Linked DNA regions of Saccharomyces cerevisiae S288C. Changing the gene in region 2 together with the main gene of any one other region gives a genetic interaction. Each region holds a gene or a part of one and is shown on either strand. Other genes may lie near its edges. The genes, in order: STE50, ATG11, ATG17 and ATG1.

Evidence for each region.
Region 1: mutations in ATG11 (region 2) and STE50 together harm fitness more than expected from each alone (negative genetic interaction), as found in Saccharomyces cerevisiae (2 studies listed by BioGRID).
Region 3: of ATG11 (region 2) and ATG17, changing one enhances a phenotype caused by changing the other (phenotypic enhancement), as found in Saccharomyces cerevisiae (5 studies listed by BioGRID).
Region 4: of ATG11 (region 2) and ATG1, changing one enhances a phenotype caused by changing the other (phenotypic enhancement), as found in Saccharomyces cerevisiae (2 studies listed by BioGRID).

The regions. Positions count from the first base shown.
Region 1 is NC_001135.5:60,268-66,646, reverse strand, and holds STE50 (Ste50p), read right to left. Parts: upstream 3,207-6,379; coding exon 2,166-3,206; downstream 1-2,165. Other genes in the region: HIS4 (trifunctional histidinol dehydrogenase/phosphoribosyl-AMP cyclohydrolase/phosphoribosyl-ATP diphosphatase), read left to right, coding at 1-713; RRP7 (Rrp7p), read left to right, coding at 1,079-1,972; MXR2 (peptide-methionine (R)-S-oxide reductase), read left to right, coding at 3,365-3,871; LSB5 (Lsb5p), read right to left, coding at 3,925-4,989; dithiol glutaredoxin GRX1, read left to right, coding at 5,474-5,806; GFD2 (Gfd2p), read right to left, coding at 5,921-6,379.
Region 2 is NC_001148.4:658,348-667,427, reverse strand, and holds ATG11 (autophagy protein ATG11), read left to right. Parts: upstream 1-2,754; coding exon 2,755-6,291; downstream 6,292-9,080. Other genes in the region: mitogen-activated protein kinase SMK1, read right to left, coding at 1-1,148; YPR053C (uncharacterized protein), read left to right, coding at 1,185-1,640; NHP6A (high-mobility group nucleosome-binding protein), read left to right, coding at 1,454-1,735; peptide alpha-N-acetyltransferase MAK3, read right to left, coding at 1,938-2,468; TAH18 (NAPDH-dependent diflavin reductase), read right to left, coding at 6,375-8,246; MSF1 (phenylalanine--tRNA ligase), read right to left, coding at 8,490-9,080. UniProt on the Saccharomyces cerevisiae protein: Involved in cytoplasm to vacuole transport (Cvt), pexophagy, mitophagy and nucleophagy. Recruits mitochondria for their selective degradation via autophagy (mitophagy) during starvation, through its interaction with ATG32.
Region 3 is NC_001144.5:969,918-976,452, reverse strand, and holds ATG17 (protein kinase regulatory subunit ATG17), read left to right. Parts: upstream 1-3,282; coding exon 3,283-4,536; downstream 4,537-6,535. Other genes in the region: mRNA splicing protein SPP382, read right to left, coding at 932-3,058; guanine nucleotide exchange factor DCK1, read right to left, coding at 4,758-6,535. UniProt on the Saccharomyces cerevisiae protein: Autophagy-specific protein that functions with ATG13, ATG29, and CIS1/ATG31 in response to autophagy-inducing signals as a scaffold to recruit other ATG proteins to organize pre-autophagosomal structure (PAS) formation.
Region 4 is NC_001139.9:157,010-165,264, reverse strand, and holds ATG1 (serine/threonine protein kinase ATG1), read right to left. Parts: upstream 5,201-8,255; coding exon 2,507-5,200; downstream 1-2,506. Other genes in the region: serine/threonine protein kinase TOS3, read left to right, coding at 174-1,856; GTS1 (Gts1p), read right to left, coding at 6,169-7,359; MND1 (Mnd1p), read left to right, coding at 7,980-7,982, 8,066-8,255. UniProt on the Saccharomyces cerevisiae protein: Serine/threonine protein kinase involved in the cytoplasm to vacuole transport (Cvt) and found to be essential in autophagy, where it is required for the formation of autophagosomes.

The DNA.
Region 1 (6,379 bases), on a different chromosome or scaffold from region 2:
AGATCTTGGGTCCAGGTAATCAATTTGTGACTGCCGCCAAAATGTATGTTCAAAATGACACTCAAGCTCTATGTTCCATTGATATGCCAGCTGGCCCAAGTGAAGTTTTGGTTATTGCCGATGAAGATGCCGATGTGGATTTTGTTGCAAGTGATTTGCTATCGCAAGCTGAACACGGTATTGACTCCCAAGTTATCCTTGTTGGTGTTAACTTGAGCGAAAAGAAAATTCAAGAGATTCAAGATGCTGTCCACAATCAAGCTTTACAACTGCCACGTGTGGATATTGTTCGTAAATGTATTGCTCACAGTACGATCGTTCTTTGTGACGGTTACGAAGAAGCCCTTGAAATGTCCAACCAATATGCACCAGAACATTTGATTCTACAAATCGCCAATGCTAACGATTATGTTAAATTGGTTGACAATGCAGGGTCCGTATTTGTGGGTGCTTACACTCCAGAATCGTGCGGTGACTATTCAAGTGGTACTAACCATACATTACCAACCTATGGTTACGCTAGGCAGTACAGTGGTGCCAACACTGCAACCTTCCAAAAGTTTATCACTGCCCAAAACATTACCCCTGAAGGTTTAGAAAACATCGGTAGAGCTGTTATGTGCGTTGCCAAGAAGGAGGGTCTAGACGGTCACAGAAACGCTGTGAAAATCAGAATGAGTAAGCTTGGGTTGATCCCAAAGGATTTCCAGTAGATTATTTCTAACTTGGAAACCGAACACTAACGAAAATAATATGTATATATACATATATATATCAAACAAAATACAGTCTTGAATGAATAGAGATACACTATGTAATGAATGGTAACGTAAAAATTGTAATTTTGGATTAAAAGAGAGGTAGTAGCAAGAGTGGGTATCAAATAGCGATTAATAAATGAATATCCTTATTGTCATCACTTCGAACGACGTAAGTTAAATTGGAAAATTTTTCACTTTTTGGTCACCTAAGAAATAAGCAGGAAAAAGAAGAGAACATTGAGAGGATGGTAAAGCAAGAGGCATTTAGGGCGAACGAACTAGGTAACAGATAACAACCTCAGATAGAGTGTTACGGGATGGGTATTGAAGACATTAGCGCCATGAAGAACGGGTTTATAGTGGTGCCGTTCAAATTACCGGATCACAAGGCACTACCCAAAAGCCAGGAAGCTTCGTTGCATTTCATGTTTGCTAAAAGACACCAGAGTTCAAATTCCAACGAGTCTGACTGTTTGTTTTTGGTCAACCTTCCATTATTATCTAACATAGAGCACATGAAGAAATTTGTCGGGCAGCTCTGTGGGAAATACGATACAGTATCGCATGTAGAGGAACTACTATATAACGATGAATTTGGATTACATGAAGTAGATTTATCGGCATTGACCTCCGATCTGATGTCCTCCACTGACGTCAACGAGAAGAGATACACACCAAGAAACACGGCGCTATTAAAATTTGTTGATGCTGCAAGTATAAATAACTGCTGGAATGCTTTGAAAAAATACTCGAATTTGCATGCCAAACATCCAAATGAACTATTTGAATGGACATATACGACTCCATCATTCACAACTTTTGTTAACTTCTACAAACCACTGGATATTGATTATTTGAAAGAAGATATTCATACACATATGGCAATTTTTGAACAGCGTGAAGCTCAAGCACAAGAGGATGTTCAAAGTTCTATAGTGGATGAGGATGGATTCACATTAGTTGTAGGAAAGAACACCAAGTCATTGAATTCCATAAGAAAGAAAATATTAAACAAAAATCCATTATCCAAACATGAAAATAAGGCCAAGCCAATTTCAAATATAGATAAAAAGGCAAAGAAAGATTTCTATAGATTTCAGGTCAGAGAACGTAAAAAACAGGAGATCAATCAACTGTTAAGTAAATTTAAGGAAGATCAAGAAAGAATCAAGGTAATGAAAGCTAAGAGAAAATTCAATCCATACACTTAAACCACCATCCTCGTCATCATATTCAACATATCTCAATATATCTATAAAACTAATAATATAATATAACATAATATAGTATAATAGTATAAGTTTAAAGGCATCAATAATTTTTTTCTTTCATATATATTCTGCTAGCATACATGTTATCCTATTCGTGTAAGTTTAGTATGATGATGTGCATGACAACTGCACATTAGAGTCTTCCACCGGGGGTGACATTGTCACTTCCGTTCATCATTGCTACTTCTTCGAAATCACCTCTTCTTCTTAACATAATGGCGGGGTGCAAACCCTGTTGCTTTAAGTTCTTGAATATGATCACAGGCTTTTCGTTCAATTCTAACAGCCTCTCTTGATCCCCATAGCAAATGACCAAGACATATTGTCTCCAATCCTGATCTGCTAAGTTATGTCTTTTCATTGCGTTTTTCAAGATCCGTTCGCAGGAGTCTTCTTTAGATGCACGCAACTGTTTTAACGCCTCGTTAGGTGATGGCCCCGGTGTGTTCGCTGTTGAAACGGCAGATGGGTGAGATTGGTTTGTAGATATTTGGGGTACTTTGTTTTTGCTATCCTTGTGCAAAGATTTTGAGTGGGAAAGACTGGGTTGCCTAAATACCGTTACCGGGGATTCTCTCCTTGACGGTGATTGTCGGTTATGAACTGTGTCGAAATAGTCTGTTTGTGAAAGAGACACACCGTCACTACTGGGTATAATTGTGTTGTTTGAAGAAGGTACCGTAGTGGACACTCCATGTGTGTTAATCGGAGAAGAGCTTGAGCTGGTCTTCATTACGTCCAAGACATCCATCCTCAGCCTTGTGTACTGCGATTGAAATTCTTGCAATTTCGCAGATGTAGTAGTGTACAAGTTTTTCAGTACCGTTATCATGTCCTCTTGAGTCTTGTCGTCCTTCCACTCCAACTTGCTGTCTCTCATCTTATTGATCAGTATCTTGAATTTTATGGCCTTATTCAAATCACCGTCACACAAGTCCTGGCAATCTTGCAAGCACAATTCCGGCAAAAGATCTCCTACAATATCATTTTCTCGCAGTCTCTGACATAATGGATCGGTTTCTTCCACCTCCAGCGTGGATATACACCAAGTTATCACATCATCAACCGACCACTGGGAAAAGTCTTCATTATTCATCAATATTGTGCCATTCACGTCCAGATCCGGCGAAGCATCGTTTGATCCCTCATTGATGGCCTGTTTACCGTCCTCCATCTGATTTGCTATCTCTGCTAGTACGACCTCTGTCTTTTCGAGTCCTTCGACCTAGCTTCTTTGTTATAATTAGCGATAGTATTTTTCAGCTTTGCCTATTGGGAAATATGTCGCCGATGATAGTTTAAATAAAGGGAGAAAGGAAGCAATATCAAAAAATGAATAAGTGGAGCAGGCTGTACGTTATAACTGTACGCAGGACTTTTCCAGGGAGAAGAAACATTGTACTGACGCAGTACTGGAATAAGAGCAAGAAAATGAGTGACGAATCGAATGACGTGAAGTGGAACGATGCCCTGACACCATTGCAGCTGATGGTGCTGAGAGATAAGGCCACTGAAAGGCCCAACACCGGTGCGTATTTACACACCAACGAGTCCGGTGTCTACCATTGTGCCAACTGCGACAGACCGTTGTATTCGAGCAAGGCCAAGTTCGACGCTCGTTGTGGATGGCCCGCATTCTACGAAGAGGTATCCCCTGGAGCCATCACATATCATCGTGACAATTCTTTAATGCCTGCGAGGGTGGAGATATGTTGTGCAAGGTGTGGTGGACACTTGGGACATGTGTTTGAAGGTGAAGGCTGGAAACAGTTGCTAAACTTGCCCAAGGACACCAGACACTGTGTGAACAGTGCGTCTTTAAACCTCAAGAAGGATTAAATGTACTATATATATATATATATATATGTGTGTATGCATACGTACATACTTCTTCAAATTTTGTTATGATCACCGAAAGGGTTTGAGATCGTGGACGGCTGATAAGAAGACAAGCTCTCTTCCTCTGAGGACTCGCTATCAATATACCTGCTGTTATCCTGCTCGTTTTCATCATAAATACCGTCATCGTACGAGCCGTGATCACTTTCATCGCTGCTATCGTCCTGAGCGCTTCGGTCGTCGTATGCAGTCAACGCAGCCACCAGTTCATCATTGGCATGAATTAAGCTACCCAGAAACTCACCCTCCGTGACCAATTGCAGATATCTAAGAACTTTCCTTCTGATCGCCCTTGCCTGGATGAACTTGGACGTGGCCTCTTCATCGTCTGTGGAGAACTTGCCCTTGGGCAGCCCGATCAGCGAGTTCTGTAACGACACAGCAGACGCGAGAGCATCGCTGATTATGAGCCGAATCCTGGGTGCCTCTTTGTTCATGTTGATCTGTGGAATCCTATACAATCTATCGGCACTAGTCAGCGAGTTGGACTGGTACAAAGTGTCGTCGGCGCTATCATCCATGAAGTTAGACCGTCCGCCAGAGCCTCCGCCGCTACGGCGGGAACGGCTGCTCTTCGAGTACCTCTGTTTGACTGTTTGACCCAATTGATAAAGACCTGAATACGCCCTCGCATTCTCAAGGTTGTTCTGCGTAATATAGTTTAGCCACGAGATAGCATACGCCGCGCACTTCTTAATAATCCTAGGCTCATACTTTTCACCGGACCCGCTGTTTTCAGAGTTCGTAGCCATCCCTCTCAGCCTTTGCAGCAGCTTGTCATCATTGTACATGACTGTAAACTTCACGCCTTGTGAGATGAACAGATCCAAGAGGTCCAGAGTCCTGGACTGCTGCAGCCGGTTCCCATACTTTATTTTCTTTCTAAGTGCTCGCGCAGCTTCTTCTTGGTTCACGGTATAGTTATAATCGTTGTGATCTGCTTTGATAAGCTGAATCAAGGGAGCTAACTCCACTTCTAGCGTATAGTCCCTTGAAGAGACAATTCGAAAGATCGTCTCGGTGATAGCTGTATGCGGATGATCCGAAAGAAACCCCATGTTCTTGTTTTGCCTGCCTCCAATGCTTTATCACTCTCTCACACTGTCACAATCGTGTTGTCTTCATCCTTAGAAAGGATACCACATTGATAAACAACATATATAAAGTTTAACTATTACCTTGATCACTTTACACGTCAAGGTCAAAACAGTTTCATAGTTATCACCTTGAAGTATGGCTCCATCATCTATAAAACATGAACTTCATGCACAAGTGAGCTGTCTACAGATAACGAGCAGCCGCAACGGCGTTTCCAGATTGCGATGCTTGTTTTCTTTATCTACTACTGCCTTACTACCCCCCTTGCGCCTCCTGATTCACGTGATGTGGGAATTTTGTCTTGAAAGGAGTAAATATATAAAATAAATGAAAAGTTTATATAATATAAAAAGGGACTTTAGCATAAAATAAAGAACTTCGTGCAGTACTTATACGAGCATTCGCATAATTATACAAATAGACAAAACCTCAGAAGGAAAAAAAATGGTATCTCAAGAAACTATCAAGCACGTCAAGGACCTTATTGCAGAAAACGAGATCTTCGTCGCATCCAAAACGTACTGTCCATACTGCCATGCAGCCCTAAACACGCTTTTTGAAAAGTTAAAGGTTCCCAGGTCCAAAGTTCTGGTTTTGCAATTGAATGACATGAAGGAAGGCGCAGACATTCAGGCTGCGTTATATGAGATTAATGGCCAAAGAACCGTGCCAAACATCTATATTAATGGTAAACATATTGGAGGCAACGACGACTTGCAGGAATTGAGGGAGACTGGTGAATTGGAGGAATTGTTAGAACCTATTCTTGCAAATTAAGGGCAGACAAAGTTTTTTCCATGCACACAGGTTTATAATGAGCTTATATATATGTATATGTATATGTATACAAGCATGTGTTTGTATTTACAGGAAAAAAATCGATGAATATATTTAGTGTGTCGGAAGAGTGCTTGTGAAGGCGTCTTTAGCAGTTCCGAAATACGTTAACCCACCGAATTCCGTTTGGCAGACTCTTTCCTTCCTACTGCTCTTGACGCCCTTGCGGTACGTCCGATTTTTGACTGCCTCCTCGATGGAGATGGCATACGACATGGGCACCACTTTAGGCTCTCGTACGTCTCGTTCTCCCCAAACTTTTACTTGGCCCATTACTTTAAGAACATCGTCCATGCCGCTTATTTTCCTGAAATTAACATCGCAAAACTTCATGAACAAATGCAGGGTATAGTAGGCATCGTTACCGGCATTGTGTAGAAACGCATGCGGTATCTCGAACAACCGCAGAATCTTGCCCAGACTGCTGCCCTTTTCGCCATACGATTTCCTGTAAAACTGCTCAGTGTCCAAGATGAACACGTCTAGATCACCGGGAGTTTCAGCCAAAAGCAG
Region 2 (9,080 bases):
AAATCGGTTTTGAAATTTTTCACTTCTTCAACCAAGTAGTCTCTTAATTTGGACATTGAATTCAACTCGGATTCATAGGTGAAGTCGAAAGGACCCTGAAGGCAAACAGGCTCGTCGTCTGGCTTCCGCACCTCGTTTAGGAACGGATGTGATATAGCTTGTTCCACGTTTAACCTATGTGTTGAGTCCCAATGAAGTAATGACTCTATGAGATTGATTGCTTCATGCGAGGCAAAGGGGAAAATGTTGGACCATGGGATTTTTTTATATACAGGGTTATTACTGTTTTTGCCTAGATTCCAAGCTTTAATGGTGCCAAACTTGATCAGAATATCTTTATCAGGAGTACCCAAGACTTTGATGATTTCAAATATCTGGTGCATGGAGTCACGCCCCATGAAAACAGGCTTTCGAGCATAGAATTCTGCAAGAATGCACCCTACAGCCCATATGTCTACGGACTTACTATACGGTTGGTTGGAAAGAAGCAGCTCAGGCGCCCTATACCATCTTGTAGCAACGTAGTTGGTTATATGGGGCTGCACAGTGGAATGACACTTGAAAAATCCGGCATGAATACCCCTAGCGAGACCAAAATCGCAGATCTTCAAACAGCCATTCAATGTGCACAATATGTTCCCAGGCTTCAAATCTCGGTGGATGACATCTGCACTGTGTATGTACTTTAGCCCACACAGGATTTGGTAAAGAAAGTATTTGATATGAAACTCCGAGAGCTGCACGGACGAATGTATGACTTTTGCCAAATCATAATCAATCAGTTCCTGGTAGCAATACAGTCCGTCATAGGGCGAGCTGGTCACTATCTCTAGATCGATTAGATTTACAATATTTTTATGGCCCTTGAAGAAGTTCATGAATTTTAGCTCACGGATGGCCCTTTTCAAAAGGATCTCCTTATTAAAGATGTTGCTGATCTTCTTTACCGCTATCCTAGCAGCTGGGCTTCGACCCTTAAACTTCACTGAGCACACTGTCCCATAGGCTCCCTTGCCCAGGAATTGGATTATCTCGTAGTATCCTGGGATGGATATTCTCTCCTTGGCAAAAATCGTCCTCTGTTGAGGAGCACCGAGGTTGGAGGCCACATTTATGGCTCTGGTATTATCTGTAAGTGTGCAATTCATTCTTGGAGCGTTGAGCACGTCTACATTTCTATCGATATGATGTATCGCACGACGTTAAATACTGTTCAAGTGTCACAAATTAGTGGCGCCGAATTCTACCCTCACGCCTCGTCGCGCGCGATACTTTTCGAATCACCCGCCTTTTGCCGCCTATTTTTTTCGCCGTTCGTTTATTTAGCGGTGGGCAAACAAACAACACAGTATTTATTACTGGTACCGACTGTTAAAGAAGGACTGTTTTGGGACGTGTTTTTTTCCTGTTTTTGCTCAATTGACTACCCTATACATAGTAAAGCACAGTCGCAATGGTCACCCCAAGAGAACCTAAGAAGAGAACCACTAGAAAGAAGAAGGACCCAAATGCCCCTAAGAGGGCTTTGTCCGCCTACATGTTTTTCGCTAACGAAAACAGAGATATTGTTCGTTCTGAAAATCCAGATATCACATTTGGACAAGTCGGCAAGAAGTTGGGTGAGAAGTGGAAGGCTCTAACGCCAGAGGAAAAGCAGCCTTACGAGGCCAAGGCCCAGGCCGATAAGAAGAGATATGAATCCGAAAAGGAGTTATATAACGCCACTTTGGCTTAGGGATACTTCCTCCCCGCGTTTTTGTCTGTGTGATTTAATTTCTTTTCCTCTTGTTCTTTTTGAAACTTGCTTTATTATCTCTCTCCTTTCTATTCCTCTTTTCTCTACTGCCCTTTTTCTATATCTATACATATGATTAAATAAATAAATAAAAAAATTGTATTATTAATATATATTTTATCATCATCGAGTGTTTTTCCTTTTATGTGGCCAGCCGGCCATGCATTAGGAACGTAGACCGAGTGCAGCTCTTTTCAGTCAACGGCAATATCAGTTTAAAGGCGTCCCCTTCATTCAAGTAGTAGCGGAACATCCGTTTCATTCTGATGAAACCCATTCCTTCATATAAGTTTAGAGCCGCCGAATTTTCCACCTCTGTTTCTAACATGATCTCATCGCAATGTTCCCTTTGCATTTTATCTATGGCAATTTCCACTAGTTTCTTTGCTATGCCATGCCCGCGGTATGTGGACTCTACGGCTAGCATTCCTATATATCCTCTCAGTCTCACGTTTCTATGCGGGTCCATCTTACACACTATGCAACCAATGGGTATGTTAGGCGTTCCACTCTTGTTGTCAACGGCAATGTACGTTAACTCGGGCCATTGGTTCAAGAAATACCTATATACGTATATCGAGTACGGCTCTGATAGATCCGCATCTATTAGTTTTTTAATACTAGCAAACTGCTCTTCGTTACGTATGTCCAATGGCTTGTACACTATTTCCATGTCCTGACCCAACGCCTTTTCTGTAGTAGTGGCTTTTTTATCTTGTAATCTCTTGTGAAACTTTGTTCTTCATGATTATTATTTTTAATAAGGCTTGCCATGGAGAGCCTTTTTATCGCTTTTGGCTACCCGGTTTCTTGGTAGGAATGGAACTATATAATAGCGATGCCCTTATTTGAGTACCATTTTCTCAAATCAGAACCAAAGTAGTCCTCCTTTGAACAACGATTATTTTAGTGTACTGTTGTTGTTCGGAAAGTACTTCTTTTATTTTCTTTTATACATCATGGCAGACGCTGATGAATATAGCACTGCACCTACCCAGCAAGAAATAACACCACTGCAGACAACAGCCACTATCATAAATGCAATATCTGGAGAATGTATAACTACGAATGTTGATTTTTTCGTTTCCCTGGACAAATTTAAACAGTTCATTGCTAGGAAATGGAAGATTCCTCCCGATCAGCTGCTGATTCTACTACCTTATGGTAACAAACTAAAACCGTCGATGTTTAAAGAGCTGCTTATTAATAGGTCTTTTACTCTAAATGATTTTTACGTTTACGACAGACGACTATTCTCACTTGTTAGTAAACCGACACCAACAAATCTTTTAACGTCTAAGGATTCTAATCCCATGAACTCCCCTAATTCCAACGACTTGACAGAGACTCTGGAATATTTAATTAAGAATAGTCATATATCTCAATACCAAGGTAGCGATACTATTATGATCAAGCCTATGCCCTCGCCTTTGGAGGACGCAGACGTAGATCTTTCGCGTTTAAATTACCATTCCGTAACTAGCTTACTGACGACGAACCTTGGTTGGCTAAGCGCTTTAGAAATAGATGTACATTATTTTAAGAGCCTCATACCAGACATAATAGCCCATATTAAGCGTATTTTTGATGGCTTAACCGTTTGCTCACAATATTTGAAGCTGTACTGCTTTGATGTAGAAAGTTTGTATAACTCAAACGTTCAATTTTTAAATCAGCTGGTAGACAATGGTATGACTTCAAAATGGGAAAAATGCTTCAATGACACCTTGAGTAAGTTGACTGCTTTAGAGGGTGATTCTTTACAAAAGTTCATTAATATTGAATCTCTCCTGGAGAACGAAAAATCTGTAAAGATTCTAAATCATTCAATCAATGGTAAGCTGAATAAAATTAAGAGGGAAATTGACGAAAATGCAAGTTTTAGAGATATTATAACAGTAAACATCGATCGACTGCGGCAAATGTTTACCCCGAATGAATCTAAATTCGAGCTTGAAGACCAAATGGCAGAGAGCTTTGAGGTACTGGTATCAGAAATGCGAACAAGAAGCAGAAATGTACTTGATAAAGAAGAAGAAGAATTCAATAGTCAAGAATTTTTGAAAAGCATGAATGTGATGTTGGAAAAGGATAAAAAAGAATCAGTGAAAACTCTCTTCACTATATCACAAGCGCTGTATTCACAAATAGGAGAACTAATAGATTTAAAAAAAAGTCTACAAAAGCATGCAGTAGCCATTTTGGGTAACATAGCATTCACCCAGATGGAAATCCTAGGTATTAAAAGACTATTATTGAATGAATGTAATAAAGATTTAGAGCTATACAAGAAATATGAGGTAGAATTTGCACAGGTAGAAGATTTGCCTCTGATATATGGGCTTTATTTAATCGAAAAATATCGTAGGCTATCATGGTTCCAACAAATTTTGTCATTTATCTCAAATTTTAATCAAGATTTAGAGTTGTTCAAACAAAATGAATTACGAACAAGAAATAAATGGGTTAAAAATTTCGGTTCCATCGCGACTGTTTTTTGCGAAGATCTATTGTCTTCCTCTGATTTCAAACGTCTAAACGAATATCACTCTCATACTTCTCCACCAAATGAAGATGAGGAAGATGAAAATGAGAATTCTATAGCAAATTACCGCCAAGACCTGGTAAAAGTATCGCAAGCCATTGATAATTATATGACGCAAATTAAAGAAACAGATGTTTCTGAACCGATCATTGATCTACTTTCGAAAACACTTTTTGAGACGAAGAGATTTCATATAATATATTCCAATTTCAAAAATAATAACAATAATAGTTCTAATGGCAATAGCATTTCCCCTGAAGGGTCTATTGCCTTGAAAAGTGATGATGTAGTCAAAGGATACAAAACAAGAATAAAAAAATTAGAATCGCTATTACATGAGTTTCAATATTCCGACATAGGCCATTGGCCTCAAGGTGTTCTCAATACCCATCTTAAGCCATTTCGTGGTTCTGCTACGAGTATAAACAAGAAGAAATTCCTGGGAGCATCTGTATTACTAGAGCCTGCCAATATTTCTGAAGTGAACATTGATAGTGTTTCGCAAGCTAATAATCATCAAATTCAAGAGTTAGAGAGTAATGTGGATGATCTATTACACCAACTTCAACTATTGAAAGAAGAAAATAATCGAAAATCAATGCAAATTTCGGAAATGGGGAAAAAAATAAGTGATCTAGAGGTGGAGAAGACAGCTTATCGCGAAACTTTGACTAATTTGAATCAAGAATTGGCAAGGTTAACTAATGAAGAACAATCGCATAGAACTGAAATTTTTACCCTCAATGCCTCTTTCAAAAAGCAATTGAATGATATAATTAGCCAAGACAATGAAAAGATAGAAAAGCTAACAGGTGACTATGATGATGTTAGCAAATCGAGGGAACGATTGCAAATGGATCTGGATGAATCTAATAAGAAGCATGAACAAGAGGTCAATTTGTTGAAGGCTGATATTGAAAGGCTCGGTAAACAAATTGTGACTTCAGAGAAAAGTTACGCTGAGACTAACTCAAGCTCGATGGAAAAAGGTGAGAAATTCGAAACCATTCCTCTTGCTGAGGACCCAGGTAGGGAAAACCAGATATCTGCATACACACAGACTCTGCAAGATAGAATATTTGATATAATATCGACAAATATTTTCATTTTGGAGAACATTGGGTTGCTGTTAACCTTCGACAATAATAATAACATCCAAATTAGACGAGTCAAGGGATTGAAAAAGGGAACCGCCCAAAGTAATATACTGGATGAAAGCACACAAATGCTGGACGCACATGATAATTCTCTAATAAAAAGTCCGGTTTTCCAGAAATTGAAAGATGAGTATGAATTAATAAAGTCAGTTGCCAATGGATCTGAAAAGGATACACAGCAAAGCATTTTTCTGGGGAATATCACTCAATTATATGACAATAAGCTTTATGAAGTTGCCGTTATCAGGAGATTCAAGGATATTGAGACCTTGGCCAAAAAATTAACTAAAGAAAATAAGATCAAGAGAACGCTATTGGAGAGATTCCAAAGGGAAAAGGTGACTTTGAGGAACTTTCAAATTGGCGATTTAGCATTATTTTTGCCAACACGAGAAAACGTTAATTCTGTCGGGTCTATGTCGTCTTCCACCTCATCATTGAGCTCATCATTTTCATCTGTTGATTTATCAACTCCACCGCCTTTGGATGCTATGTCTATACAATCGTCTCCCTCGGTGATACATAGTAATGTAATCAATCAAGCCAGTATATCTGGCAGGGACAAGAATAAACTGATGAGGCCTTGGGCTGCATTTACAGCTTTTGAAGAAAGCACAAGATATTTTTTAAAGGACGAAAAAGGATTGACGAAGGGGAAAGAATGGTTTGTAGGCAGAATTGTCACTTTGGAACATTTCGTAGCAGATAGCCCCTCTAATAATCCATTTAGACTACCAAAGGGCTCAGTTTGGTTTCAGGTCACTGCGGTTGTGGTTTCATACCAGGGAGTTTGAACAGTGCTAAACGTTTGTCACAAATGACAAGATTTTAATTATGTATCTATTTAACATTATAATGCGATAAGTCTTGTTATCGACTACCAAGTTTCCTGGATATATCTATCAGATTTTTCCATTTCTTTCAGGTATTTTTTGGCAGTTTCTTCATCACTAAAATTGCCCCATTTTTTTAACATTTCAATGAATGTTAATCTGACTTGGATAGGCATTTTACCTGATGAGCCACATAAGAAAAAAACGGCGTCTTTATTAACTACCAAATTAGTTATTTCCTCACCTAATCTCCATAAGTAGTCTTGGACATATTTAACACCTGGTGAATTTTCCTCATCTCTGGAAAAGGATGAATGTAAGGCAATTTTGCCCTTACGGAACCAATCTTCCAGCATATCTTTATAAATATAATCTTTATCTTTATATCTACAACCGAAGAGGAGTTTGATATCTTTAGATATCTCCGCTTTAACCACTGATAATAATGGTGCTAGACCGACACCCGGTCCGACAAGAATCATAGGTTTATTCAAAAATTCCTTTTTGATTATGTGATTATTTTGTAACTTATACCTTATCTGTTCCCCCTCTTGCAATCGTGCAATGTAGTTAGTGCAAATTCCTCTTCGAATTTTCCTTAAGATAGTTTTATATTTTACTATCGCAACTGTTAATTCAATATTAGGATCCCCAGGGCCGCTAGATATAGAGTAGTACCTTGGTTTAATGATGGGCAAGTAATCTAGCACATATTTCCAGGGCAACTTTACGGAGATAAAATCTTCCAGTACTTCAAGAATTGACCTTCTGGGTCTATTACAGTAGTCATATAAGTCCTGCATATCTTGATCAGTAGCAAATTGGCGCAATTTTTCTCTTTGATCATTCAGTTGTTCTTGGCCACGTTCCATCTTAGTTACATCAGTTGCAAAGGTCCAAATCTTCAAGAAAAAACTTGTTCTAGGAATGCTCATGAAATCACAGTGATATTTCAACAAGTTCCTTAAAGTCATCGGGCGAACTAATCCACCATCCTTAAGATCATTAGGAACTCCACTGGTGAAATTCAATGGTTTGTCCGCAATTTCTAACCAATGGCTTTGATTTGCTAGGAATCTTGAAACATCCTCATCTGTATTGCAAGGATATATGGTTACTGTATCACCGGGTTCATAGTTTTCTTGAATCTTGTCCACATTACTAAACTTGAACTGCCTCACGTCTTGGAAATGACCTTCAGATGTAATCCTTTTGTTTATATTAACTCTGCCAACCTTTAACGATTCATCACCTTCGAATATAACCTTGGTGCTAGTGAACTTTTCATTGGCATGTTCGTCTGAAAGCTGTAGGTAGGATGCTGGCTCTAGGTAAACCTCAGGGTCCAATTCTTCCCTCTTAATTATTTGGCCATTGACCTTTCTGTTGGGGTACTTACTTAAAAGAAAGCTTAGGACTTTCTTTTCATATTCAAAATATACTGATTCAATTCCGAGACCTGTACCCTTATTGCTACCAGCCATAGCCTGGTCGTCAGCCTCCAATCTATCGAATAATTCATTAGCACCCAATTGTGTGACAATGCGCTGATGTAGCTTTCTAATGCCGTAGTTAAACTTAGGATAAGATGAATCACCAAGTCCAAGCATGGCAGTTTGAATATGGTTGAGCAAATTCGACGGAAGATTCTTTCTCTTTAAAAACGACCAGAACGTGACGGGTCTTTCACCTTTTAATGCATTGACATTCCTTGGTAATTCACCTTGGCCTGTTGTGGAGCATATAATAAAAAGGTACCTGCATTTCAAGATATCCTGTGGGTCATAATCACCAATGGAGCAAAATGTATGGGAGAAATGCCAGCGATGTAGTCGATGGGATAAGATTGTAGCAAAATCATGCGCGTTACCTGTCTCCGATCCATAGAGGATGACGATTTTCTTGCTCGATGACATGCAGCGATTAATGGAAACACAGATGGCCTACTGTTGACTAGAATCTTCATGTTAATAAGGCTCATGAAATTTTTCGAATTTTTTTTTTTTATGTAGTCATCGCATTGCCGCAAATGCTTAGTAATTAAGAAAAACAGATAGATAGATGAACATAGATTGAAGTGATACAAAGAACCTGACAAAGTATTTACAAGATATATACAGCTGCGGTAAAACACCTGCAACTAGTTTGAGTCCGTATCCCTATCTGAGTTCTACGCTGTATTCTTTTACCAATTTAGAACACACCATGTCTTGCAAAGTGTTAACTTCGGCGTTTGTCAAATTTCTGTCCATTGATTGATAGTTGATCCTGTAGCACATAGATTTTCTCCCAGTTTTCGGATGCGTAAAGCTATCGACTAGCTTGACACTCTCTACCAAATCGCCAGCTATATTTCTGATAATTTCCATCAAATCATTTTCATGAACTTGATGAATATCTGGTTTATCTTCTGGTAACCAAAACGCAACATCCCTAAATGATCCCGGGTGTTTTGAATAAGGTTTGAAGGAAGTAATTAATCCCTTGGAGAATTGTCTTGAAAATCTTTCATCACGACTCCAAAGCAGTCTAATATCTGGAATTTCAAAAAGAAGCATAGCAATGCGGTCCAAACCCAAGCCAAAAGCCCACCCAATTGTTTCAGAAGGTTTATATCCGGCTCTTAGTAGCACATCTTGACGAATCAATCCGCATCCGCAGAGTTCGAGCCATTCGCCCTGCCACCAAACCTCTATTTCCCATGAGGGCGCGGTCCAGGGGAAGTAAGCGTTAATCCAACGGACTTTTAG
Region 3 (6,535 bases), on a different chromosome or scaffold from region 2:
TAATGTAATAGGATCAATGAATATTAACATATAAAATGATGATAATAATATTTATAGAATTGTGTAGAATTGCAGATTCCCTTTTATGGATTCCTAAATCCTCGAGGAGAACTTCTAGTATATCTACATACCTAATATTATAGCCTTAATCACAATGGAATCCCAACAATTACATCAAAATCCACATACTCTACAAATTTAAAGAAGTTTAACTCCAACAATAGCCGTTACTAACAAGAATCCCAAAAAGTATCAAATTATTCGCTGATTCTTCAAAACTATTTGAAAAAAAAAATCTCACATTTTTGATATTCCAACATAAGTAATTGAAGGTCAATGATAGAAGCTATCAATAATATTATATAATTTTTAACTCAGCAGATATCGGAAATAAAAGACTCCATGGCCAAGTTGGTTAAGGCGTGCGACTGTTAATCGCAAGATCGTGAGTTCAACCCTCACTGGGGTCGTTTATTTTTTTTGCATTAAATTATTTAGTGAGCTAAAAACTCCATTAAAATAGTAATCGTATAAACTAATATCAAGTGAAGCTGACTACTTGATTAGGCTCACTACTTAGCCACATTCGGGCTTTCTTCTGTCTTTCTTGGAAAATAACAGCTCCATTTGATCTTGATATAAAAAAGGTCCTTTGATCCCATCCGAAACTCGTTTCCTTCTGCCACAACTCTTAACAGTCTAACTACGAGAGTCTAGCGAAGTATAAAAGTTTAAACAATAAATTTTGGAAACATTTCAAGGGCAAAATACCAACAACTATCAAATAAGGGGAATTAATAGACTCCACTTTAAATTAATCCATTGTCTAAAAATGGTAATGCAATTATTATTTATTTAGTAATCTAATCAATTTTGTTTTTCGACAATAATATATAAATCGTGCCTATCTCACCTCTTTTATAGGTACTTTCTAGAGGTCAAGGGCCCATAAATAAATTGGCTTAAAGGTCCCACTGGAATCCTCCACCCAAAGAATATCATGTTTCAAAGCAACTTCCATTTTTTTCTTCCCGTTTCGGATCTCAAATAAAGGAACTATACAATCTTGGTCTCTTCCATATGGCAGTTGAGTGTACCTATTTGGTATTTTGCTGATCAAGTACCCTTTTTCCAGGCAGTAGTCTTCTACCACATCCTTGAAAGAGCTGCTAACTTTTCCAAGCGGAATATTTTGTACAGTATAGGTAGGTTCTTGTTCGCTTTGACTAATATCGTCGATCACTTGTGTTTCCATTAAGTTTCGTAAACCCTGTCTCAAATCGAAATCTTCATCTAATGTAGATTTATCAAGGTGGTACCTATGAGACATAGCGAATATATTATAGCTTTTTCTGATCTCCGATAGTTCTATTTCTGTTGGTAAAGAGTGCTCAAATACCGTATTCATCAGCCAATTAAGCCACCACTTTGACTTGTGTAAGTCTTCCACTGTACTATAAAGATGCCATTGATAGAGTATTTTGTTTATATTATTAAAGGTTCCCCGCATCATCAATTCATACTGTTTTGGATGAAAATAATGGGTATAACTTCTCAGTTTTTTCATAAAATAGAAAAATCCAGAATCTTTTTCTTTCCATTCCTGTTTTTCCTTCCAATCCTCTAACTCGTAGATGGGGTCATTATGTCTTTCCCACAGCTCGTCCAGGAATTTAGGAAGAAACTCTTTACATAAAATTTTGTAATATCTTCGTTCGCAGATAAGTTCTTTGATAAATATAATATCAGAATTAGTGATACAAAATGATTCCCTATGGTACCAATTTTTACAATAAGCAAAAAATTTTGCTTCAATCTTGTCCACAATTGTGTCTTTGATCTTATCGTCAATTAAAACCATAAAATCCAAGACCCATATTCTTGGCGAAACATGGTCTACTTCATCGTGAAGTTCCCAATTATCTAATTCCTGTAATAGCTTTGGATAGACGAATTCCTCCATGATATGCTCTTTACACCCGATAAAACTTAGCACTTGTTGGAAATCCAGTAATAGGGTGATAGCGCTGTCGATTTTTGATTTAGTCATATCAAACCCTTCCCAAAATTTTTTGAGTTTGGGATATATAACTTTAAAGATTGTTGTTTGTGTCCTGTTCAAAAATTTCGAAGTTGTATCCATTCTATATGCGAGTAGTTCTATAATTTGCGTTAACTCATCAAGTATATCGTTTGGCTTTTCTAAATGATCCAAATCAAATTCTATTAGTAATTCTTTTCTCAATAAGCAGGACGTTAGCCTATCTATGAGCTCGTCGTCGGACAATTTTAAAATAGCACCAATCTTATCATACAGGGAAACATGCTTGCTTTCGTCCCTCAAAGTAACCTCCAATTCAGAAAGAAGCCTCTCTTGTCCATAATATTCTTTGACTTGCACTTCTAACGGAGAGGTGCGCTGACGAATAGCTTCCAAACTTTTTTCAATACCCAGCAGCTCTTGCAATATCTCCACAACAACATCTTTTTTCGGCTTTGGTACTGCATTTAAAGGGTCTAATTCTTTTAGGATACTCTCTGGTAATTGTACCCCTGCTAACCTCAATTCTCTCAGTGTTCGCACTATAGTCATATCACCACTATCATTTAACAACGCTTCGCCTAAAACCTCCGTGGAGGTTTTATTGAATTTGACTTGTTCTATACCTTCAACCACCTCATCCTCAGAGCTCAAGTAATCCTCATTTTCACTGTGATAGTTACTGGAGTTGGTATTTGAAAACATTCCTAGACCTGCATTGTGCATAGGTCGGCTTTGGGTTTCTATTGGTGTAGTTATACCAGAACCATCCTTCCCAAGGCCTTTTCCCGCAACATATCCCATACTCGAAAGTAACTTCGCACCAATACCATATGTCTTCGTTAATTTTGAGATCGTTGGGGCATTGCCGCTACTAGTTTTCAAGGCATCATTAGTGTATGTCATGTCACTATTCATGCTTGAATTATTATCTTCCTCATCGCTATAATTATAGGAATCGATTCTTCTTTTTTTGAAAAAGAACTTTTTATCTGTGTTGGAGTCCGAATCCTCCATGTTTTGGCGTACTGAAGGCTTAAGTTCTTCGACCTCTCTCGGTTGTACTATTTCGAAATTTTGGATTTTTGTTATTGTTTTGACATAATGTAAATACTAGATGCGCGCTCTAAGGCCTCAGTATTAAAAATTGCAAGATATCCCTAACTTGATAATTATTTGAAAGTCGCATAACGTACGATAAATTCGATACTGCGAGGATATTATCAACGTATTTAACACCTATGAACGAAGCAGATGTTACAAAATTTGTTAATAATGCCAGGAAAACGCTGACCGATGCTCAACTTTTATGTTCAAGTGCTAATTTAAGGATTGTAGATATTAAGAAAAAATTGTCATCTTGGCAGTTGAGTATTTCAAAACTCAATTTTCTAATAGTTGGCTTGAGACAGCAAGGAAAGTTTCTTTACACTATTTTAAAGGAAGGCATTGGGACAAAGCTAATCCAGAAACAATGGAATCAAGCTGTCTTAGTGGTCTTAGTTGATGAGATGAAGTACTGGCAATATGAAATCACTTCTAAAGTACAAAGGTTGGATGGTATAGTAAATGAATTGAGCATATCAGAAAAAGATGATACCGATCCCTCTAAACTAGGAGATTACATCTCGAGAGACAACGTTAACTTATTGAATGACAAACTGAAAGAAGTGCCAGTAATTGAGCGTCAAATTGAAAACATTAAGCTTCAATACGAAAATATGGTCAGAAAAGTTAACAAAGAACTGATTGATACCAAGTTGACGGACGTAACTCAAAAATTCCAAAGTAAATTTGGTATAGATAACCTGATGGAAACAAATGTTGCAGAGCAGTTTAGCAGGGAACTAACGGACCTTGAAAAAGATTTAGCAGAGATAATGAATTCATTGACACAGCACTTTGATAAGACATTGCTGTTACAAGATAAAAAAATTGATAACGATGAACGTGAGGAGCTGTTTAAGGTGGTACAAGGCGACGACAAAGAACTATACAACATTTTCAAAACTCTGCATGAGGTAATTGATGACGTGGACAAAACAATTCTTAACTTGGGTCAATTTTTGCAGGCAAAAATAAAGGAAAAGACAGAACTACACAGCGAAGTTTCTGAAATAATAAACGATTTCAATAGAAATTTGGAATATCTATTAATCTTTAAAGATATTTCCAATCTGATTGATAGCTTCAAAAATTCCTGTACACAAGATATTCAAACAACTAAGGAACTTTGTGAATTTTATGATAATTTTGAAGAAAGCTACGGTAACTTAGTTCTAGAAGCAAAGAGGAGAAAGGATGTGGCAAACAGAATGAAAACTATATTGAAAGATTGTGAAAAGCAGTTGCAGAATTTAGATGCTCAGGACCAGGAAGAACGTCAGAATTTTATAGCGGAAAATGGAACTTATCTTCCTGAGACAATCTGGCCCGGTAAAATTGACGATTTTTCTTCCCTGTACACTTTAAATTACAACGTGAAGAATCCTTAGAAAAAAGGAAAAAAAGGATACGGTACAAAGATTCAATAATTGTATCAATATTTCGAAAAATACTTTATCAAAAAAGCAATACTTGAAGGAGAAAGGAAAAAATTCGCTGTCTTCTTCACTTTTACGACAAAGAAAAATGTGCCCTTTTCAACTAAAAGTCATGAATGAATAAATAAATGATTACATATGCGTATATTTTATAGTGAACAACTTCTGACATATTATCCCGAATGTGAGTAATCATGCTTGTGCTGTGAATCTGTGTTGGTGTTTGGCTGTGACCCTGCCAAAAAGGTGCTCGAAGTGCCGGAAACAATTCCACTTTTATCCAAACTGCTCGTAGTGGACGAGTGGGATAACGTTCTTGTTAAATATTTTCCAAAAAGTAAACTGTTTGGGCCAAATGAGTCGCTATGTTCTAATACAAATTGGCTATGATTGGACCCTGAGGTGTGATGATCCCTTCCAGAAAAGCTTGCCTTTTTATTGGGGTTCTTGTGCGAAATTATTCGAGCAGTAATCATGTTATTCCTGCTACGATTGGCCTCACTGAGAGTACGACTATATCTTTCTATCTCCTCAGCGAAATTTTCCTCAAAAAGACGCACTAGAAGATCATGTGATGGTTTTAGATCCTTTGATGGTAGTAGTTCTGCATGCAACGTTAGACAGCGACCTAATACTGCAACAAGCTCATCAAAAGCTAGCGTCAATCTTCCTAAATCATCAGTACTGAACTGCTTGGATGTGGAGGGTTCTAAAAAGGCCTTGTACTGTGATATGCCTCCATTAACTGGAGCTGATATTGTTCCCGTAATATTTGTAGAAAGCTCGGTAAATAAATCGTTCACATCACCGTGGTCCTTCAGAGTTTTATTGCACATGTTTTCAAGCCCATATAACTCCTGTATTTTAACTTGTAAGGAACGAATTGCATTTTCAAGTGGAGAAAGTTTGCTCTTCGTAACCTTTACAATTTCTGATCTATTCATTAGTGTTGGAAAAGTATTCATAGTATGATACGTATATTCCTCCACCCACAGGTCAGTGACTCCTTTTGCGCCTGGCAAACGTCGAGAATTACTGAAAGTCCTCAAATCTCTATTCTCAATGTACATCCGCACTTTGTTGTTAATTGAGCTTTTCTTGTCACTACTGTTGTAATTATCGGATATACTTAAGCACGGTTCGACGGAAGCTACATGAATGTATTTTCCCATTGGAGGATTCATCAATAACATATCCACTTCTTCTTGTGAGTGTACAATATTTGACCCATGATAGCTTCGTAGAAGCCTGTCATGCATAGACGTAATGTGTTCAAATGGGAGACCCTCAAAGACGAACGATTTATTTCTTAATGATTTTGGAAAACCAAATCCCATGAAAGAAACTTTAAAATACGTTGGAACCAGTCTATCAATGGACTGTAATCTGGTATAAATGCCTGCTATTTGGTCATGTACAAAGGCCAGCCCGTTTAAATCATAATTGATCTCATCGTAGGCTTTTATCAAGTCCTTGTATACCGCTAAAGCTTTTTCTGGTTTTTGGCCTCTCGAAAAGTTTCTTGCGGATTCCTTAAGAAGATATTCCTTCCTCTCAAATGAAGATTGCTCTGGCAATGGCGGGAAAGATATTGCTTCAAGAGTATCATTAGAATCCCAAGCGTACGTACCTGCCAAGAGTTCTAGACTCAAAGCTGCTTGAACAAAGTCTTTTTTCTGAATAAAGTGGATAAACAAATCATATATCATTTTATGAAACAACTCTGGCCTGTTTGCTTCTAGCAAGTACTCGAACATCTCTATGTGCCGAGCAGTCCGATCATCATCAAATTCTTCTTGATTAGGTATTTTGTAGATTTCATTTACAATATGCAAAAAACCAAGTAAATCTCTTAAGAAATCCATACAAGCAGGAAAAAAGGTGTCAGAATCGGGAACGTGCATCATAAAAAACAAACAAGAAACAAACCTTTCCAATTCGTAATCATTCA
Region 4 (8,255 bases), on a different chromosome or scaffold from region 2:
GTGCCTTACTTATCCGCGCGGTATATAAAGCCATACATTGTTAGGACAGGTGTCCCCAATAAGAAACACTACTTGTAAGTGGTATATAATGCTCGAGCCTCTAGTGACTCGTACTCTACGCCTTGAAATTGCTGCGCACATATTCTGCATATAAAAAGGAAGCTTTGAAGAATATGGTACTACTTAAAGAACCTGTTCAGCCGCTGCCTCGATCATCTCTGTTATATAATAATGCGAGCAATAGTAGTAGTCGTATAAAAGAGACAAGAAAAGTCAAACTATTATATAATCCCTTAACTAAGAGACAAATCCTTAACAACTTTGAAATTTTAGCCACTTTGGGTAATGGACAGTACGGCAAAGTGAAATTAGCAAGAGATCTCGGGACAGGTGCGTTGGTTGCAATAAAAATTCTTAATAGATTCGAAAAAAGAAGCGGGTATTCTCTTCAATTGAAAGTAGAAAATCCAAGGGTTAATCAAGAAATTGAAGTAATGAAAAGATGTCATCATGAAAACGTTGTGGAATTGTATGAAATTTTGAATGACCCTGAGAGCACAAAGGTTTATCTTGTATTAGAATATTGCTCAAGGGGACCCGTTAAATGGTGTCCAGAAAACAAAATGGAGATAAAAGCAGTGGGACCATCAATACTCACTTTCCAACAGTCGAGGAAGGTAGTGTTGGATGTAGTATCGGGTCTGGAGTATTTACATTCCCAAGGGATAACGCATCGAGATATCAAACCATCGAACCTGTTAATTTCATCAAACGGAACGGTGAAAATATCCGATTTTGGCGTTGCTATGTCAACTGCCACCGGAAGTACTAATATACAATCATCGCATGAACAACTTTTAAAATCTAGAGCCTTAGGGACCCCTGCTTTTTTTGCACCTGAGCTTTGCTCCACTGAAAAAGAGTATTCCTGCTCATCTGCCATCGATATCTGGTCATTGGGGGTCACTATATACTGCTTGTTGTTTGGAAAGTTGCCTTTCAACGCCAATTCAGGATTAGAACTTTTCGACAGTATTATCAATAAACCCTTAGAATTTCCATCTTATGAGGAAATGTTGAATGGTGCCACTTCGGGAATCACAATGGAAGAATACACTGATGCCAAAGATTTATTGAAGAAGCTGTTACAAAAAGATCCTGACAAACGGATAAAACTAGCAGACATCAAGGTACATCCGTTTATGTGCCATTATGGTAAAAGCGATGCAGCATCCGTATTGACCAATTTGGAGACGTTTCATGAGTTGAAAGTTTCACCGCCCTCTTCATGCAAAAGGGTAGAATTGGTCAGCCTACCAGTGAATTCATCATTCGCCTCTTTAGATAGCGTTTATATGGAAAATTTTGACCACAATAACCTTAGGACTGGTGCTGACAGAAATTCAACATATTCTCCATCAATATACGACGCAAATACCTTATCACCCTCAGCATATCACAACATCGGTTCTAGAGAGTCATCCTATTCGTCCTTTTCCTCTTTCACATCATCCACCGCTTTTGCATCTCAGATCAGTATTCAGGATGCCCCAGCAATCGGTGATCAACAATGCTTGATAGGTGAGAGTGGAAGTTCATTAAGAGTGAATTCTTGTGAGTTTCCACAATATACAACTATGTCTCCTGTAGGAGAATATCCCTTTGAGAGTACGGAAGCAAGTTTGAGCTCTACTCTTACGCCTGTCGGTAATGTACCTCAACGTATAAAAGCCCACCTGGTAGAAGGGAAATCTAACAGCAAGGATGACCTTAGAATAGAAGCAGACGCATCACTTGTATTTGAGGCTAGCGACGCCCAGCGCACGAGAAGAAGAATGTCTCTTTATAAGCTTTAGCATGATATATGTAAATTATTTTAATAGATGTAATATATGATTAGAAACTTGATAGAAGGATCTAAGTTAATTGTCATGTCGGATCCTAATACCAATTCTTTTAATATTGTGTTTGTTTTTGAACGTTTATTATGACTTGTAAAATACTGTTTGTAACAACAAATTATAAAATGAATTTTAATGAACTCAACAAGTAAAAATAATAAAGATATTAATGACTTGTTAAAGCCTCCTCAATCAAATCATACATACATACATTTATATATATATATAGAACAAAAGGTTAAAGAATCAAATTTTGAAGAAATAAAAATTAGATTAAAAGGATATGTATAGCCAAAGGCAAGTACTAAACGCAACAAAAAAAAACTTAAAAAGAAAAAAACACACCGAAACCGAAGGAATTCAATAATTTCCTTAATTAACATTTAAACATCAAAATAAAACCCATCCAGGTATAAAAGAGCTGGATTTCAAGAAAAAAATCACGTAGAAATAAAAACAAAACAAAACACAAAGGGAAAATAAAATTTGAATACTTTAATGACGAACTCGTAAAGCATTTCGAGAGTAGCATAACATAATCATGAAGATACTTGAAAATATAGCAGGTCATTTGTACTTAATAAGAAAACCATATTATGCATCACTTAATTTTGGTGGTTCATCTTCTGCCTCAATATTTTCAACCTGTTTGCAATACTATCAATATACTTTCTTATGATTATTCTGTCATTTTCATCCAACACACTATGATACTTCTCTTTATCTTCAACGTCGTTACTTTTTAGATGTATGTTAGTTTTAAAAGGGTAGTCACCATAGGCATTCGTAAAATCATCATCGTCCAGAGAAGTTTCTAACATCCAAAGTGAAGTTGCATAAGCTAATTCACAGTTGTACAAATTTTCTCCTTTTAATTCCATATGTGCGGCCATCTTAGATATTTCTAATGCACGATCATATAATAGCTTTTCTAAATATACTGGCTCTTCCGAACTACCTTTTTCTTCCAAAGTTTGATTTTCAGCTACCTCAGAAGCATGCTTGAATCTCAAGTCGTTAATTTTTAATCTCAGGAAATCAGCTTTTTCTAAACATTCATTAAATTTTTCCCTTAGCCACTGTACCAACACGTTAACTCTTAGAGAACATGATTTTTCTTGAGATTCATACCACCAGTTGGACGTTACCTGCATAGATTTTGATAAAATGGATAATGCCTTCATATATAAGACAATGGCCTCATTACATAGAAGGATCATTTCCGAACGTGGTAGTTTATTGAAAGTTGCACTCAACTGAGATGTGGCAGATAAAGTTCTACCCTTTCCAAAAGTTTTCGTGGATAAGCAATCTTCCTTGTACTTTTTCAACGTTTCATCCTCTTCTTCTGCATCGTCTGAGTCTTGTTCTTCTGCAATAGCATTACTATCCATACTGCGCCTGTTCTCAAAGTTAGCCATGCCTTTTAATGTTGTTGATAATGGAACAATTTGAGAAAATTTCACTTCTGCATAAGAGTAAACAACAAATGCCTTTGCGGCCAGAGATTCCAAAATACTAACGATATTAGTATTATCTAATTTCAGTGTCTCTGGATGCTGTAGGTGATCTATTCTTAATATTATATTCTCAGTAAGTTCATGAAAAAGTTGGGAATTCAACAAAGTTTGACTGTACGGTGGGGAAGATGTGATTTGTTGCTGTTGCTGCTGTTGATTTGCACCACCAAACAATCTCGTTGATGCAATACCGAGGGCTCTTGATAATGCATTAGATGGATTCAGCGAGGATATAGACAAGCGTCTATCCACCAAAGATGGTCGCCTAGACCCATCACTACCTCCACTGGAAGATGATGTGGCCCTCAGTAACCTCGGATTTTCTCCTTGATTTTGAAAATACTGTTGATTGTTTGGAGAGAATTGCTCATTCAATAAGACGTTCTGATTTTGAGTTGAAGTTGGGTGCTTAATAGGATTTGGATTGAATCCTGCTTGAGCAACCTCGTCTGCCAATGAATTAACTTCAACCGATTTCTTCTCTACCACCACATATTCTCTTTCAAAGCTTCTATCTGAAACTAGGCTATTATGGTATTTATTATTTGAAGCCTTTTTATCTACGGCTTGTGTATGGTCTGTTTTAACGGCTGGGGCAGTTAATATATTGCTGTTCTTGAGGGCATCACTGAGCTCCGCGGGATTATCTGCCATTGATTGATGACCTGCAAGATTACTGTTCGGACTCTTTGGCTGTTTAGATAAATACTCAGAAACGAACATATTACTTTCTACAATACCTTTTGATTTGGATTCTAACTCAGGTAAATCATCTTCCAATTCATAAGAAGACAAGTCTTCGTTGACTACCTTGTTAGCAAAAAACTCCTCAAATCCTATTCTTTGGGCTGGATCAAATGTCAATAAACTACATATCAACTCTTTTAACTCTGGTTCAATATTGCAATATGAAGGAAACGTTATGACATCGTTTGCTCTTTTAATTTTCTTGAATAACTCCAAATGATTGGAAGCTCTAAACGGTGGGGTGCCACAGCACATTTCGAATACCACTGTACCGACAGACCACAGATCTGCTTTAGCGTTATATTTTTGATAATTCAAAATTTCTGGTGCCATATATAATGGTGAGCCACAAAGAGTTTCTGCTAATGACGTGTTTGGCAAAAATCTTGCAAACCCGAAATCTGCTATCTTTAAAATGGGTAAGTTGTAGATCCCAACAAATCCAAGTTCATGGAAGCTTTTTGAATCATGATATCCAATTAGGGGTGTAGATAATAGTAAGTTTTGAGGCTTGATGTCTCTATGAACCAAGTTTTTAGACCTCAAAAATTTCAAAGCGGACGCTAACTGCTGTAAATAACTCAAGACAAACGCTCTATGCAGGCCGTTATGGTTCTCACTCGGTGGAGGGTATTTTTCAAATACGGTCCTTAGTAGAGGATGATTCTCCATCAATTCTTTACGCCTTTTCAACAGAAATGTTAGGTCCCCAAGAGCACAGTACTCCATGATCAAATAAAAATCTGTTGATGTTCGTTCACAGTCAATAAGTCCGACGATATGAGGATGCTTGATTTTCTTCAAGATAGCGATTTCTATTTCCAAATTCTCTAGTAATTTCTTATTTTTTAATTTCGCCCTTGATACTTCCTTTATGGCTACATGCTGAGATTTGTCGGATGTCAGATGCCCTCTATATACAGTGGCAAACGAACCCTTTCCGATTTCTTTCTCAGCGGTGTAATTTCCTGCACTTGCCATTAGATTATGGTTCACAGAGGTTGTGTGATCTTTATTTTTAATGTCTCCCATTTTCTTAATTTCTCGTCTGGTGTTGTAAAAGAGATTTGAAAATATGGGGTAGCTTCAAATTCGTTTTGTGGAGATATCAATGATTATTCTCCTATCTCCTTTGCCTTATGTTTTTATTATATTATATGTTATTTTATTATGGGTACTATTACTACGATTGTATTATATCTTTTTATCTTCTATAGTACTGTTCTCTGTTTCCCCAGAAACTAAAAAGGGTAAAAGATGGCCTTGGTACTTAACTTAAAGGTGATGAAATGTGGCGTTCTAGAATTAACCTCGGCCTAAAAAATAAAAAGCTAAAAAAAAATAGTACGATCAGGAAGATATTAATAATATAAGCTCCTTTATGAGATGCTCGATTCCTTTTGTTGCCAACTAAATGACGCTTAGAATTCCATCGATTCCACGATCGATATAGTTACAAATCACAAACTGATGCTGATGGGGGAAATGGTTTAAGAAATCAGAGCCGAGCGGTTAAAAAGAAAAACAGATGCTTGAATACGAATGATATGCTTGCTTCTTTAACGGTATGGCTTTCCAGTAATAGTTACTCCGATAAGATTCATTACAGATACACGAAACGAACAAGGAAAAGATGATTAACGGGAAAAAAAGAGAGTTCCTTATCTCATTGATTTTAACTAGTGGGTTTTCCTTACATTACCGCCCAATCCCTTTTTTTTTTCTCGCTCTCACCGGCGGAGCGCGAGCGGAAAACGCCACCCAGGTGACTTTTGCGCTAAGTGTGGATCAAATACAGTGGTATTAGTCATTGATGTGCAGCGTAAAACGTCCGGAGCAGCTGTGTAATGCGGCTGTGTAGGGTGAATACAATAGAGAATATGACTAATTCTGGTATATAGTCGTTGTTTACAGATATCTTTCGTTACTTAGTGTCATTTAATTACTTAGTGTCACTCTATATGATATGTAATGCGGAGCAGCGGCAATGTATCTTATTTTTATTGTGTGTAGAAATAACCTTGTGGCAGGTTTCCTCCTTGCGACATTTGCTGAAAAGATAATGGCGCCTGTTGCTGTTGCTGCATCTGAAGCTGTTGCATCTGGATCTGCTGTGCTTGAGCCTGAGCCTGGGCCTGAGCCTGAGCCTGAGCCTGAACTTGAGCCTGTGCCTGTGCCTGTGCCTGAGCCTGAGCCTGTGCGACAGCAAGCTGTTGCTGTTGCTGTTGCTGCTGTTGCATAGCCATGGCGTATTGCTGCTGATCTACATATATCATTCCGGTAGCAGGATCGTAATACTGTTGAAGGGTACCATCGAAAACTGCTGGCTTTGCTTGTACAAAAGATGCTGAATTTGAAGTAAAATCTGGCGTGATTACATTTGTACCATCAAAAATAGCTGGCTGTGGGCCACTTGTTGTCGCACGTCTCCTGGGCAGGGGCGGAGTTGATGTTGTCGCTGCTGCCGATACACTATTTCTTGAACTTGAACTTTTTTCTAGATAATCGATTGCTCTATTGATATTTCCGTGAGCGGACGATAATGCATCTAAATTTTTGTTTGTATCACCGAAACCCATGTCCTTGAGTTCTGCCAGTTGCCTAGAATATCTGCTTCCACTGCTTTGGAATGAGTCCCTGGAACCGCCGTAGTCAGACCTATTATGGCCCCCTTTATAGAAAGAATGAGATCTGCTCCTGCTCCTACTTCTATTTCTTTCATCAAACCTGTCCGATTCCCCATCAAAATCATCCATTCTGGATCCAAAGTCTTCAGGCTTTATTTCATCATACCTGAATTTACCCAAAATATACTTGTCTCTAATGTAATGCTCCACGATGGCTTTGTCATCATCTCCATCAAAAGGAAAAGGGACATTTTTAGGATTCCAGAACCGAGCATTCCCCTTATTGCCTCCAAGACTCACTAATTCATCGATATCCTCTCTTGTCCATCTATCCATTGATAGTGATTTAACGTTAGAAAAGGCATCGTCGTCTCTGCTACCGAAAACTTTTCTATGAACAGAGGCACACCTACCACAAAGGAAAACCCCCAAATTAACTGAGCACCAAGTTGGGTAGAAATTACCACATTCACCGCATTTATTGGCATTCTCGGACGAATTAATCAACTCCTTTAATTCTCTGTCAACATGTTTTAAGCTATGGGAAGAACTCCTAAACCTCATTTTTGACTAAGTATAAATAAACTATAATCTGTGATTGACAGAACGCTGCCTCCATCTATATTAATGATTGATCAAGAGAAAATGTTCTTCTTCCACCCTTTTGTGAAGCATTTAGAGATCAACACTAACTTTCTTCAACTTACAATAATTTCCGGGTGCCCCCATTTATCGATTACCCGGATCCGCTTTGCATCATAGTGTGTCGTTGTCGAAACAAAAGCGCCGTATTATTTGGTCAACGTTTAATAAAGTAAAAGCAGCATTTGAGATGCTCTATACAACCTTCTTAATTGCAACCGACATAAAGGTATGTTTTTCTCTTCTTATTATGACAAGGGAAACTTGAAGAAGAATTCGTGTCTTGCCATAATTTCAGCATCATCGTCTCAACCTAAGCCTCTTCTCACGAAGGCACGCTCAAATATCTTTCTGGCTCTAAAAATCTTGAATAACGAACCGAATTTACCATCTTTCCTGCTTTTTTATGCGTCGAAAAAAAGTAAAATAACCGCCCAGATCACGAAATTGCATATAAAAGGCGATCTCCCGTCCCACCGTTATTCTTTGCGATATAGACTAAACGGCGGAAACTTTATGTGTAGTATCATAAACATTCAACAATGGTATGTCTAATAAAACCATCATGGTACACAGGACTGAACACTAACTTATAGACGGGTGCGTGCTACCCTCTTCTTATTATTAGGGGCCAAAGAGACAGACAGTATCACTCCAAGAGAAAAAGAACCGGATTCTGAACTTTTTTCAAGAGACGTACACATTCTACAACATCAAGGAATTAGAGAAAAGCATACCTAAAAAATGCGGAATCTCACCCATGATCGTTAAAGATTTAGTGCAACAAATGATTGATGAAGACGGCGTCATTTCGGTGG